Linked DNA regions of Astyanax mexicanus. The protein of the gene in region 2 interacts with the protein of the main gene of each other region in a biochemical or structural test. Links are inferred from orthologs where the notes say so. Each region holds a gene or a part of one and is shown on either strand. Other genes may lie near its edges.

What was found. The genes of interacting proteins can lie anywhere in the genome.
Region 1: the proteins of erbb2 (region 2) and abl2 form a complex in vitro, tested with the Homo sapiens proteins (3 studies listed by BioGRID and IntAct, with this or other methods). The link is inferred for Astyanax mexicanus from reciprocal best matches to the Homo sapiens genes ERBB2 and ABL2.

What each region holds. Positions count from the first base shown.
Region 1 is NC_064419.1:45,074,000-45,081,235, reverse strand, and holds the start of abl2 (tyrosine-protein kinase ABL2), read right to left. Parts: upstream 3,024-7,236; 5' UTR 2,678-3,023; coding exon 2,413-2,677; intron 1-2,412. UniProt on the Homo sapiens protein: Non-receptor tyrosine-protein kinase that plays an ABL1-overlapping role in key processes linked to cell growth and survival such as cytoskeleton remodeling in response to extracellular stimuli, cell motility and adhesion and receptor endocytosis.
Region 2 is NC_064422.1:4,071,360-4,078,345, reverse strand, and holds the start of erbb2 (receptor tyrosine-protein kinase erbB-2), read right to left. Parts: upstream 3,084-6,986; 5' UTR 2,858-3,083; coding exon 2,782-2,857; intron 1-2,781. UniProt on the Homo sapiens protein: Protein tyrosine kinase that is part of several cell surface receptor complexes, but that apparently needs a coreceptor for ligand binding. Essential component of a neuregulin-receptor complex, although neuregulins do not interact with it alone.

The DNA.
Region 1 (7,236 bases), on a different chromosome or scaffold from region 2:
CATATATATCATTTCAAAAGGCAAGTCCAATACCTTGGGCCCTATTTAGTGTATCTTTGCTATCGTAATGACGGAAAAAGTATGCCAATAAAAAAACGCATGTACTAATTCTCTTAACTAATTATGGTTTTTTTTTTTTTTAACATAACATGAAATAAAACAGTCAGCGTGTCACTTGCCATTTCCTATAAAAGCAAGGTGCACACGCTCTGACTTTGGTGGATTGCTATTTAAACAACGCAGCACTTCTGTGCTTCTTAGAAGAGGAAGTGAAGGTGTGTAAGCAGTTCATTTCTGAGAACAGCAATGTTATTTTATATAGTGTTCTGTGAAAAAATTAGGTCTGTGCACTGCTGTATGCCATTGTGTGTGTGTGTGTGTAATAAAGAGGGGTGTACAAGATAGCAATGAACGTCTGACTAATGACGTCTGCCTAGGTTAATATCGGTCAGTGGTGCACCTGTGTTTTCCATTGGAAAAATAAAATACAAAAAATTTACCAAAAATAATCCTCAAAAATATAATTCTAGCAGAAACCGAGTAACACGCCACTAAATACTGGAAGTGCGTTAGATAGATAAAGACAGCTTAGATCCCAGAAGGACTACAAGACGGTTGCTGAATATAGACACAAAACATGCTTACACTCCCCACTTTACCTGAAAGTCAAATAAAATCAAGAGTACTCTTGGAAAACAGCCTTTCAAACACAAAGCAAATGTGCCAGGAAAGTATTCCATACATCTTGAAGGATGGTGAGTCAAGACAAGCCACATTAGTAGCTGGAAGATCTCTCAGTATGGATGTGGTTTTGACCGCTGCCATTTAGGCCAGTGTCAGGGTTTTGTTTTGTATCTAATGCAGGGAAGACTACGGGAAGTCACTGGAGGAAATGCTGCAGTGGGGTTAGTTACATGACTGAACTTTTTTTTTTTAGCCTATCGACTTGTTTCTTGCAAATAAAAATAAACAATTATAGATAACTACAGCTCAAAATATAAAAAGAAGGAATATATACTGGTAAATTAAAAAGAATTAAGACACACACAACAACGCTCACATACTCCACTTCACCTGAAAGTCAAATAAAATGAAGGAAAAGCCTTTCAAACACACAGCGGAAGTTAAAGCCACCACCCGAGTGTAGATGCCTTTCTTCCATACATCTTAAAAGATGGGAGATCAAGAAATGAGATTAGTCGCTTCTTGATGACCACTGCCGTCATTTTGGCCAGGGTCAGGGTTTTAAATGTTATACAGGGAAGACTACACAGGAGGTCAGCTGGCTACCTGATTATACTGAATATAGACCAGGTTATCCAATCAATGGGTTTATTTTTTCTTCCCTGATGATACGACCATATTCCAAGATGACAATGTCAGGATTCATGGGGCTGGAATTGTGAAAGAGTTCAGGGTTCAGGAAGCATGAGACCATCATTTTCACACATGGATTGAGAGAGTTCACCACAGAGTCCAGACCTTAACCTCATTGAGAATCTTTGGGATGTGCTGGAAAAGACTTTGTGAAGCGGTCAGACTTTACCATCATCAATGCTGAAAGAACACTGGATTTAAATAAATCTAAATAAATAAATGCCACAGTGAATGCGTGCTGCAATCACAGCTAAAGGAAGTCCAACCAACTATTAAGCCCTATTTGGACAGGATTAGTTTCTCAGGGGGACGTCTGTGATAAATATTTCACAGTTCTACTCTTAAGAGTGTTAAAACTGTTGCATCTGGAACGCAATTAAAAAAACAAGAGGACCAGTGATTATTCTTGGCTTTCTCAGTCACACGACATCGCGTTCAGTAGCTCCTCCATTTCCACTCGCTGTTGTGTTTACATGGATCTCCATAGAAACAAAAGTGCACCCAAAGTGTAATTACGGTGTGTGGCAGTGGACAAATAGCCGTTTTTATTAAACGTAAGGTGACGAAACTCAGAATGTCTGAGAAAAACACATACATGGTCGTTCCGGATTGGAATAAAATCACAGAGGACCACCTATAAAAGAGAAAATTACCCCAGGACCCCCTGAGAAACTAATTCCATCCGGATAGGGCTTTTTTTTTGGCCAGACAGTGTATATTGGTCCACCCTATCCACAGATCACACAGACAGATAAGCAGACCCTGGCTAATATATAAGATTATGTTAGCTACTGTATAAGGAGGACCAGTCACCACCCAGTTAACCTAGCTGGCTAATACCATCATAATACCGGTGGAGAAAAGACTACACACTGACGGTTGGACAGGACAAGCAAGTTGGCAATTAACTTAATTATATAAATAAATAAAATAATTATATAATGTTAAATATGTTGTTGAGTCCAGCTGACCTTAGCCTCCTCGCTAGCTAGACCAATAAATCCAACAGAACCACAAAAACTCAGAAAGGCTCACCTGAATGCTGGGTGAACACGTTGACCCCCGGGTCCGGCATGTTAGCAGCAGCGGTCAGCCTGCATGCGGGAGCCGCAGCGCTGGCAGCGTCCCTGGGTCTCCTCCCTCCGCCACCGCCGCTGGTCCGGGCCGCTCTGCCCGGGTGCTGCTGCTGCTGGAGCTGGGGCTGGAGCTGTGGCTGTGAGTGGGGCTGGGGCTGAGGCTGCGGCGGGCTCTGGAGCGCCGGAGAGCCGCCGTCCCCCACGCGGCCTACCTGCTGCCCCATTGTGCGAGCTGTGCGGGAGAAAAGCCGAACCGCAGGCCGAGCTGAGGGACACCGCGCTGTCCGGCCGGATCACATCCCCCCCGGCCGCGGGTCGCAGCGGCCTGCTGGCTGTTCCTCCTCCCCCTCCACCCGCGCCTGTTCCCGATTCGGAGCCCGAGCCCACCCAGCGGTCTGCAGCGCCTCTACCCGCGCAGCTCCGCGGCTCCGAGCAGCGTGTCGCCGGGCCGGTAGCGGCAGACCCTCCCCCGGTTCCCCGGTTGCCGCAGCTGCGTGTTTTTAATAAAGCGGCTCCTCCGTTAGGGCTCCCTCCGCTCCGCTACAACCACTATGCGCCCCCTCTGACGCCGCCATCTTTACCGCAGAATCAGTGGCGTGCAGGTCTCCAGCCAATCAGAGATTTGGGAGAGGGGATGGGGCGTGGTTAATTTCAGGGGAAGGCGGTGACTAACTTAGTCACGCCCATAAGATAGTAGCTACTGCAGTATATATTACTAATAAAATAATTAATAGACAGGATATAAAATGTAAAAATACATGGTCGTTCCGATGGGAATAAAATCACAGAGGACCACCTATAAAAAAGAAAACTACCCCAGGACCCGTATTACTACAATAAAATAATAAAATTATAATAACAATAAAAAACAATAAAATAATGAATAGATAGGATATAAAACGTAAAAGTAAAAACTAGTATAACAAAAAGACAAGTTAGAAAAGTTTTTTAGGCTTTCACTAATGACACCTTCTGGCAACATTGCTACTCCAATAATACAGTATAATTAGAAAACAATTAATAATAATACAAAACAATAAAATAATTAATATATACAAAATGAAAAAATAAAAAGTAGTATAACAAATAGACAAGTTAGAACAGTTTTTTTTAGGATTTCGCTAACCACGCCTTCTGGCAACATTGCTAGCTAGCTAGTCAGTAGTGTGTAATGGAAATAGTGCAGTTGAACACAGTAGACAGTGAACACCAGTATAATGATGTGCATATAATAAAGTACAAAAAGTGCAAATACACAGTTATATACTAATTTAAATTTGCAGTGAAAGCTTGTGCAAAATCTACTAGTGCAAAAAATGTAAAAAAAAAAAAAATGCTACTCCAATAATACAGTATAATTAGAAAATGATAAATGTATATTTAAAAAAACATAAAATCAATAGACATAATATAAACAAACTGACACATTAAAACATAACAAGGCTCTGACCTCGCAACATGTTTTCAACAATGAAACTGAATTGCATTTGAAGGAATCAAAATGAGTTTTATTAATACTCTGGGCATCCTGCGCTGGCCTACATTGCTGTGTTTAGTGATGTGAGGTCTCTCCAGTTTGCTGTTCTTGATTTAATCTGAATCTACATGAAGTTTGGTGGTCTGTAGTGATGGACTCTGTGGAAATTTGGTTCCTCTGAGCACTATTCTATAGTGCAATAATATGATTAATAAAACAATTAAATAATTAATAGATCAAATAAAAACTAATTTAGCAAATTAGACAAATAAGAACAGATCGTTTTTTTTAGGATTTTACTAACCACGCCTTCTGCCAATATTGTTGTTATTATTATATAATTTAAACAAATAAGGATAATGAAACAAATAGACATAAACTAACAAACTGACACATTAAAACACAACAAGGTTGTTGTTTACGATTTCATTAGATACACCTACTACTACTACTGCTATATCAATAATATAAATAATAAATTTTACTATATAAAACAATAAGTATAGCTAGGCTAACAAAATAACAAATTAGAACATATAGTTTTTTTCAGAACATAAAAACGGGTATAGTATATACATAATTTTATATCATTTTATTTATTTATTTATTTATTACATTTCATTTATCTTTTAACATTTCTCAATACACATAATCGGTGACGTGCAGATCACGGACCAATCAGTGATGTCAGAGCGGGGAAAGGGGCGTGCCTAACAACGGGATAAGGGAGGGGACTTTAGCTGGACAAATAATTGAAAACAATAAAAGAATCAGAATCAAACATGATAAAAATGTATAAAACCAATAGACTTTCAAACATATGATAGTATATGAGAATTTTTAAGGTTTTGTACATTTCCAGATATGGTATTTGTGCTTTTATTTTGCTTTGTTTTCTTTTCTTTTCTTCCCCTTTTAACCTATTTCTAATAGGGCTGATTAACCATTATTTGTACAGTTTTATTTTATTTGGACTTTACTAAGTAAACGTTTGATCAAAATTTGATTTAATATCATTTTTTATATTTGCATCTCAATTTTAAGCATTTTATGCAGGGATCATAGATTTTATTATTACAGATAAACATATTTTAGCTATTAATATAAATGTATAATGTCCAAAGACATGCTGGGTCAGACTTCTTACAAATCTAAAGACAGGACAGCGACTAAACAACAAGGCCTTGTTGCAGATTTCCCACGTCGCTCTTCATGAAGCCACGAGTGCCGCCAAACTACTGAACGCATGTGACTTTTATCTGCTGTTTAACCCATAACCCTGTCCTCTGAAATCCATCACACCCACCCATATGCACACAGAGTCTGCAGACCATCATTCATGCAGTAGATCTTAGACGACTGCAAAATGTATTTTTTGCACTTTCTTAAATATATTTACTCTAATGTATTTACTTAAATGTAATTGTTGGCTTTGCAACAGATCAACACAAAGTAGCAAGTAATTGTGAAGTAAAAAGAAAAGTACACATGGTTTTTAAATGTTAATAATAAATAAAAATAAGGGCTCCTAGTAGTCAAGCAGACTAAGGTGCTGCCACTATGATTCTTGATTCGAATCCCGATCATGCAGCTTGCAATCAGTTGCCGAAGCCCTGCGAGAGCACAATTGGCCTTGCTCTCTCTGGGTGGGTACAGTAGATGGCACTCTTTCCCCTCATCACTTCTAGGGTGATGTTGATCAGCACGAGGCTTCTGTGAGCTGATGTATCAGAACCGAGTCGCTGCACTTTTCTCCAAGCGTTAGTGCTGGGATGCTACTCGGTAATGCTGCATCATCAGCAGTTAAAAAGAGGCGGAGTCTGACTTCACATGTATCGGAGGAGGCATGTGCTAGTCTTCACCCTCCTGGTGTTGTAGCATCATTAGTGATGTGGGATATACAGCTGACTTGGAGCTGAATGGGTCTGACAATTGGTCAGAAAATGTAAAATATAATATTTAAATAAATAAATAAGATTACATTATAAAAAGTGTGGTGTGTATTTGTATTCAGTCACCTTTACTCCGATGCCCCAAAATAAAATTCAGTGTGACCAATCGCCTTCAGAAGTCACCTAATTATTAACTAGAGTTAATACACACCTGTGTAATTTATTTTCAGTATGAACACAGATGTCCTTGAAGAAAATTAGTAATTAAACTGCATCATTAAAACCAAAGAAGACACCAGACAGGACAGAGATCATACCTGTCAAGTCTCCCGTTTTGGCCGGGAAACTACCGTATTTTACTCCTCTTTCCCGCTGTCCTCCCGTATTAGTATTTTCCCGTAAATTTCCCGTATTATATTAAAATAAAAATATATATATTATTGAGGAGAAAGGGAGCTGACTGCTCTGTGTCTCTTAACCAATCGTGCAGCCGGTTCAAGGAGAAAGTCCCGCCTTTCAGGAGAAACAGCCAATCAGCTTGCAAAGGAGGGTCAGTGTGGGGAAGCCACAGGCAGCTAGTCGGAGCAGCTGATGTTAAAACATATCTGGATATACAGCGATTTTTCTAAAAGAAAGGGAACGGTAGGCTAATCATGTAAACTATGATGAGATTTTTCTGATAGCTGCTTAAAAATACTCGTCTCTGAAATAAAACACTCAGATTAAACCTTTTAAAATAAAAAAAAACAGTTAAAAATTAACTAAACTGATCAGGGGTGGAGTGATCAAAAGATTCAGTTTGCAGAATTTGTGCACCCTTTGTTCAATTTTAAATCCATTAAATAAATAAAAATATATTATAAAAAAGAGTGCATTTATGCCAAAAAGACATGAAATCTTAACTTTTAAAAAAATATTTGGAAAAGTGTTTTTAATTTGGCTGTATTAAAAGAATGACATATGTAGGAATGTCCGCAACATTTCAGATTCTGATAATCTAATTGTGTGTAAGTGGTTCACATGTCGTTATTTTAGATTTTTTTTGTAAACCTGTCTTAAAATGTAAGGGATACTGAACCTACGTTGGGCTGGTGGGACAACTTTAAGCGGACAGAGGAAAATATCCCTTATTTTTTAATCTAAAATTTGACAGGTATGAGAGATAACACTGTGGAGAAGTGTAAAGCAGGGTTAGGTTATAAAAACAGAGCACTCCTTAATCCATCATCCCAAAAAAAAAAAAAAAAAGAGAACAGCACAACTGCACACCTTGCAAAACATGGCTGTCCATGTACACTGACAGCCCAGGCAAGAATTGTCTGTAATCCATAATCATCAACAATAAAATAAATAAACGCTTAAAATAGATCACTCTGTGTTTAATACATCTATATAATATATACAGTATATATTT
Region 2 (6,986 bases):
TCTCATCTGCTTGAATCACAGCAGCACACAGTGGAGAGAGTAAAGAAGAGGAATCAAGATAAGAGCAGGTTTGTTATGGACACATGTGCGAAGTTAAACTACATTTGAAGTTTGTAAAGTTTTGTTTGTGTGTTTTTAGATGTTGGAAATGAGCCTAGAACTGGCAGGTGCAATGCCGTCAACACCATTCCGACCACTGAGGACCGTCATGAAGTGACCTCAGTTCTAACACCTGATGATTCAGCTGCCTTGAGATTTTTTTTTTCCATCTAGCTTCTTTTAAACAGAGTTTCGGTCTATAAAAATGGGTAGTGCTGGTGTAGTTTTGGCCAGGTGAGATTACTTTTTTAAAGCTTTAATGCATCAGCATGAATGATCACAGAATATTAATACCAGGCCATGTTGGCTCACCTACTTCTAGCAAAAGTTGGTGTTAACAACTGCATTTTTAATATTGTAATATTTTCCAATAAAGTGCCGCCCTAAATTTGAATGTCCTTTAACCTCTAAACAGGCTTGAGTTTAGGTTTGGTTTAGCCTACAGATGAAGACTTTAAAATCAGAACCTATAGCTTCTTTGCACATCAAACTAAAATCGAAGGCCTAGAATCTCAGTAAAGCTGTCTTTTAGTTGAAGAACTTTCTGTTTGACTGAATTCATAGGATAACAGATTATACATGGTGCAGTTAAAAATGCTCGGTTTTACTCAATTTTTTACTCATGTTAAGTATTACTGTCGTAGTGTATTTGTATTTATAGAGTATCTAAATAATATTTTGTGAATTTATATAAAAGTCTATTGATATATTTTACTTTAACTAGGGACAGATTAAATGTTGTGTTTCACATAAATGTTCAGTGTTTAATAAATATATAAATTAAATGATAGTTTTGTATAGAGTGTATTTTTTGTCTGAAAGTGAAGGTTTTTCCCATCAGAAAGGCTAATATCATTTAGTGTTGAGATGTAAGCACTTGAGTGTACACTGAAGCCTGGATTTAGTTTTGTTTTACAATTTTCATCTTTTTATTCAGAAAGTCTAAATAACCTTAACATTAGTACTGTTCTGCAAACCTAACTAAACCCTAAAAGGCCTGAGTTTGTTTTTTGTCCACATTTTAGAGTCTTTTTTAAAGTGTTTATAGTTAAAAAGTCTTAAATATCCACATCAGTTGTTGCTGTCCACTGTGTACCTGCCTAAAACTAAAGTTTTCAAGTTTTAAAGTGTACTCTACTCTTTCTTTTTCTAGTGAGAAATTCTTAGATACCCACACCAAAACAGCTCACTGCTCCTGACCAAAGCCTTAGGCTTAGGTTTTGGTCTACAAGGCAGGTTTTATGATTTGAGTTTGTTGATTGCTCTCTGCTGTCAGTCACAGTAAAGTGGTAAAGCCAGTTTGTGGTGGAAACACTTGAGTAAATCTCTGTAGGCAGCCTGAAATTCTATAAAAACCTGCCACAGCCCTTTTATATCTACAATATGGACAATTGTTTTAGACTAAAATCACAACAGGGATATGAGTCCTAAGTAGGGCTGGGAGGTTAATCAAATTAATTAATGGAATTACTGTTTTATGTGGTTTTCAAAATGGGGAAATAGAGACTGTATATATGTACATATAGAGGTTGCCAGAGTGGATCTCAATAGATAGAAAACTATAAAGAACTCTATTATGTGTGGTTTTCAGTGATTTTCATATTTTATACTTTCCCTGAACTAAAGTACAAGGAGGCTATGTTTGAACTCTGAAGGCCCGGATTTAGTTTTGGTCTACAAATTTGGTCTTTTTTGGTCAAACAGTCTAAATAAACTGACCATAAGTACTGTTTTGAAAACTAAAAAGGCCTGGTTTTAGGTGTAGATTTGAGAGCCTTTATATTGTTCCTAGTCAGAAAGTCTAAATATCCACATCAGCTGTTGTTGTCAAGGAGGTTATGTTTGCACTGTGTTTGAAATAAAAGCTGCATGTGAAGTTAAAGGGGTCTGCTTACTAAAACTAAAACATTTCTTGAATTAAATGTAAAGGAAACAGTAGCTTGTGCATCACTTAAAATGGTGCAAATGAAGATGTTATGTAAAAACTAAATGTATAATCATTATCGTTAATCATTTATATCTAAAGTATATCAAAATTATTTTTCTACAATATCGCCCAGTCATTAGTCCTAACTCTATAATACTAGTATAGCTCAAGAAATTCAAATTCAAGATTTCTGTATTACAGTTTGTACTACTTCTAATTCTGATATCAGTTCATTTTTAATAGTAATAACATAATCAAACCTGCAGACTAGATATTAGCCTGGATCCAGGGTCACACAGTGTTTGATTAATTTTACTGTTTTAACGTTGATATTTTGTTTGATATTTTATTTTATTGACATGGAATTTCATATTTTTCCCCACTCTCTCTTATCTCAGAATAATTTTACATTTACTAGCAAAAAAATGTAATTGTAGCTAAGTAATTATAGATAGGACAATGTGAAATAAAAATAAATGCTAAGTCAAAACATATGGCTAGTCAAAATTACACAGTTTGATATACAGTAGATGTAGTAAGTTAGAGCTTTTACCATGGAAAAATTGTGAGTAGAAGTAAGTTTTTACCATTAAAAAGTTAAGCTAGGACTTTAAGTTATTGTTAAAGTAATTTTAGGGTAAAACATTTCGCTCTATGGGTTATAAACACGCTGCAGTGGCTGTGAGCGGCTGTTCTCCGGTGAAGGCCGGGGTTTGGGGGAGTGTTTGGTTGAGGAATGCGGCGGTTTGACCCACCTTCTCTCCCCGCAGATCTCGCCACGGCCCCGGCCAGCAGCGCCAGCACGAGCCCTAAACTTCTCACCGCCTCCATCGCTCTCCGCCGGACTTTAGTCCATAATCACCCGCTCAATAACTCCTCAACGCTCCCCGGAGGCTGGGAATAATCCTGCGGAGAGTGTGTATTCCCGTGCTGCGGTTCCCTCAGCGCGTTTCAGTCTGTAAAACTTCCTGCGGGCAGCGCTCCGAGTACAGCTCCGAGTTCAGCTCCGCTCCGCCAGTTCAGGAACGAGCTTCCCGCAGGCAGGCGCGCTCCCGGGCACGGGAGGGGAAGGGCGGGGCTCCACTGGGTCTCCGACAGGCCACGCCCACCGCACCCCGATTGGCTAAGACTTCGCACCCGCCGGAGTTCATAGCTTGTCCCGTAACTGAAGAATATGAACTTCTATCCAATCCCAGCGCAGGACTCAAACTGAGAAATCCAATCACACCGCTGCAGGTGGGACACTGCTGGCCAAATAAACTAAACGAGGCTGGGTATCAGCCAATTACAGAGCGGGAGGCAGGCTGTGACTCCAGCAGCTGCCTCTGGTAATGCAGTGTGGTGTGTTGTTTATCTATTGTGATTGTGCACTGGGTTAATTGAGTGGGGAATTAAAGCTGGACTGGTTGTTTTACTCACGGTGAGCTGCACAGATTGTTTTCAGACACTGGAGAAGCCTGGCTCATAACCAGACCGGTATAAAACACTATAGAGCAAGACCTGAGTAAAAGTACTCTATCAAAAAAGTGACTTAAGTAGAAGTTGTAGTGTTCTTTAAGCTACACACTTAAGTGGAAGAACTAAAGTATTCAAGTATTTGTATTTAAGTATTGCAAGTATTGTAGTTTATTGTAAAATGTAGTACTGGAGTTCTGAAAGTAAAAGGCAGAACGGGAGCAGCGAGGTCTTCCTATAAAATTTCTAATTTTTAGACTATTTTCTCCCAATTTACATGGCCTATTACTCAACCCACTCATTAGGACCCCCCCTTATCACTAGTGATGCCCCAACACCAGGAGGGTGAGGACTAGTACATGCCTCCTCCGATATATGTGATGTCAGCCACTGTCTTTTTTCCAACTGCCACCTCTTTTCCAATCACAGCACGCTCGAAGGAAAACGCATCAACTCAGGTTTAATACATCAGCTCACAGACGCCTTGTGCTGATCGACATCACCCGGGGAGAGTGTGCCATCTACCCACCCAGAGAGAGCAAGGCCAATTGTGCTCTCTCAGGTCTTCGGCAGCTGATGGCAAGCTACATGAACAGGATTCAAACGGGAAATCTCCTGATAATAGTGGCAGGCGCTAGCCGGCTGAACCACTCAGAGCCCTTATAAGATAAGTTTGATCTCTTGATTCACTCAAGAATGAGCAGCATCATCTACTGCTTTGTGATAATGTGAAATGGGGAATTTTTATAATTGAATCAAGTAATGAATTAGCACATAAAATAATATATTGTAGTAAAAGTATTAAACTTGTGGAAAATACATAGTGAAGTTAAGGTAGACACAGATACAGTATTTTAGTACTTAAGTACAGTAGTGAAGTAAAAATAATACTCCAGTAGATAAAGATACAGCATTTTAGTACTTAAGAACAGTAGTACCTCTACTTCGTTACTATACCTTTCTGGTTTTGACATAATAGCCCAGACCATTTCTGAACATTGCTACTGATTGATGTAGCAATATTCAGAATGAATTCAGATGAATTTAGTGAGCAGCTCATTTATGTTTGTTTCTTATTGTGGGTACAAGACTGTAAATATTTAAGGTAAATACTTTAAGGTTACATAAACGTAAACATAAATGACACAACAACAGTTATATTTGGTAACGCTTTATAATACAGCCCGCGTTTTAGAGGGTAAGTACTGTGTACTTACAGAGTAAGACCAGTGAAACACTGTACACTACATAATACAGCCCACTCCCTGTTGTTTCTAACTACTTACTGAGGAAGTACTGTGTACTTATAGAGTAAAAACAGTAAAAATCAGGTGAGGTGTGGGTTTATTAACCAATAATATAAAACCTTGTAGTTTTTGTGTATTAATTAATATATTTTCTTTAAAATCTCTGCATTCCTGATTTTGTTATTGAGAATATATATATATATATATATATATATATATATATATATATATATATATATATATATATATATATATATATATATATTATTGTATTTTAGTCTTGAATTTTAAGCTGTACGTTTTCTTCCTGCTCCACTCTGACTGTTTTTAGCTACTCCACCCATGACAGTTTTAAAAAATCTTCTTTTTTCAAACTCATAAAATTAATAGAATAATAATTCCCTGGAGGGTGACTGAAATCAAGCCTTCATAACTGCCATGAACCAAGGGCAAAATAATATATATGTGTATATATATATATATATATATATATATATATATATATATATATATATATATATATATATATATATATATATATATATATATATATTATTTCATGAAAATTGCAACATAAGTTTAGGGAAATTGCAGGTTCCCCTGTGCTTTACTTGTACTTATATTTAAGATTTAAGTACGAGTAGGACCCAATAAGTATTTTGTATTTACTGATTTATAGTGAACAATTACACCATACCTGTTGGGAAAGTAAAAGGTAAGTTTCAGAAACTTACCTAGTTGTTACACTCTTGTTGCTTGTTTTTCTTTATTTATATGTACAGTTAAAGTACCTGTAGGACCCGGTAAGTATTTTGGATGGACCGGGTCATCCAGAGAAGTTACTAGTTACTAGTTTCTAGGGTATTAACAAATGCAACATGCGTAAAATAACATAGAGCACCCCCATTCAAAACTTAAAGTGGTTGCCCCTGGCAGCCATTACCTCAGCCAGGCATTTGTTGTGGATCAGACCTGCATATTGTTCAGGAGGAATTTTAGCCCTTTCTTCCTGGCAGAACAGCTTTTGCTCTGTCATATTTCTTGGATGCCTCAATCCAGTCAATCCAGCATCTGAGATCTGGGCTCTGACTTGGCCACTCTCATAAGCCATTCTGTTGTGGATCTGCTCCGCTGCTTTGATGTTTTGGGTCAGTGTCCTGTTGCATCACCCAACCTCAAAAGAGTTTCAACTGATGTAAGGACACTCTCACATCACCATACTTATGTATGGTTGGGATGATGTTTTAATGGTGATGTGCAGTGACTTTTGTTATGCCAGATGCAGTGCAGCAACAGTTCAATCTTTGTCCAAAAAACATTTTGCTAGTACTGTTGTGTAGTGTCAATGTACTATTTCCCAAACTTCAGACATGCAGCAATTAGGGGTGCGCCATATCGTATTGTGTGCAATAATATTGCCAAACAAATGTATGTTGTTATTGCACACATTCCCTAAAATATCATATATATTATTTTAGGGCCATATGGGCCATCAGAGTAAAACTCATTTGCTGCTCGTAGCAAAAAGAAAATTCACACTGTTCTCGTTTCCAATTTTATATATACAGCTCTAGAATATATGAAAATGAAGATGGATGATTACAAGCCATTAGACCAAGCTAAACTGCTTTAATTGTTGCACCAGGAGTGGCATAAAGTTATCCAAAAGCAGTGTGTAAGACTGGTGGAGGAGAGCATACCAAGATGCATGAAAACTGTAATTAAAAACCAGGGTTATTCCCCCAAATATTGATTTCTGAACTTTTAAAACTTTATGAATATGAACTTGTTTTATTTAAATTACTTGAGTTTTGAAAGCTCCATATCTTTTTTGTTATTTCAGCCATTTCTCATCTCATTTCACATTGTAGATTCTCACTGAAGGCATCAAAACTATGAATGAACACATGTGGAGTTTTATGTACTTATCAAAAAAATGACCTGGCCTCCACAGTCACCGGACCAGAACCCAAACCGGATTGTTTGGGGTGAGCTGGACCACAGAGTGAAGGCTAAGGGGCAACAAAACACCTCTGGGAACTCCTTCAAGTCTGTTGGAAAACCATTTCAGGTGACCACCTCTTGAAGCTCTTTGAAAGAATGCCAAGAGTGTGCAAAGCAGTAATCAGAGCAAAGCGTAGCTATTTTGAATAAACTAGGGTATAATGTTTTTTTTTTGTTATTTCACCTTTTTTGTTAAGTACAGTACATAAAACTCCACATGTGTTGATTCATAGTTTTGATGCCTTCAGTGAGAA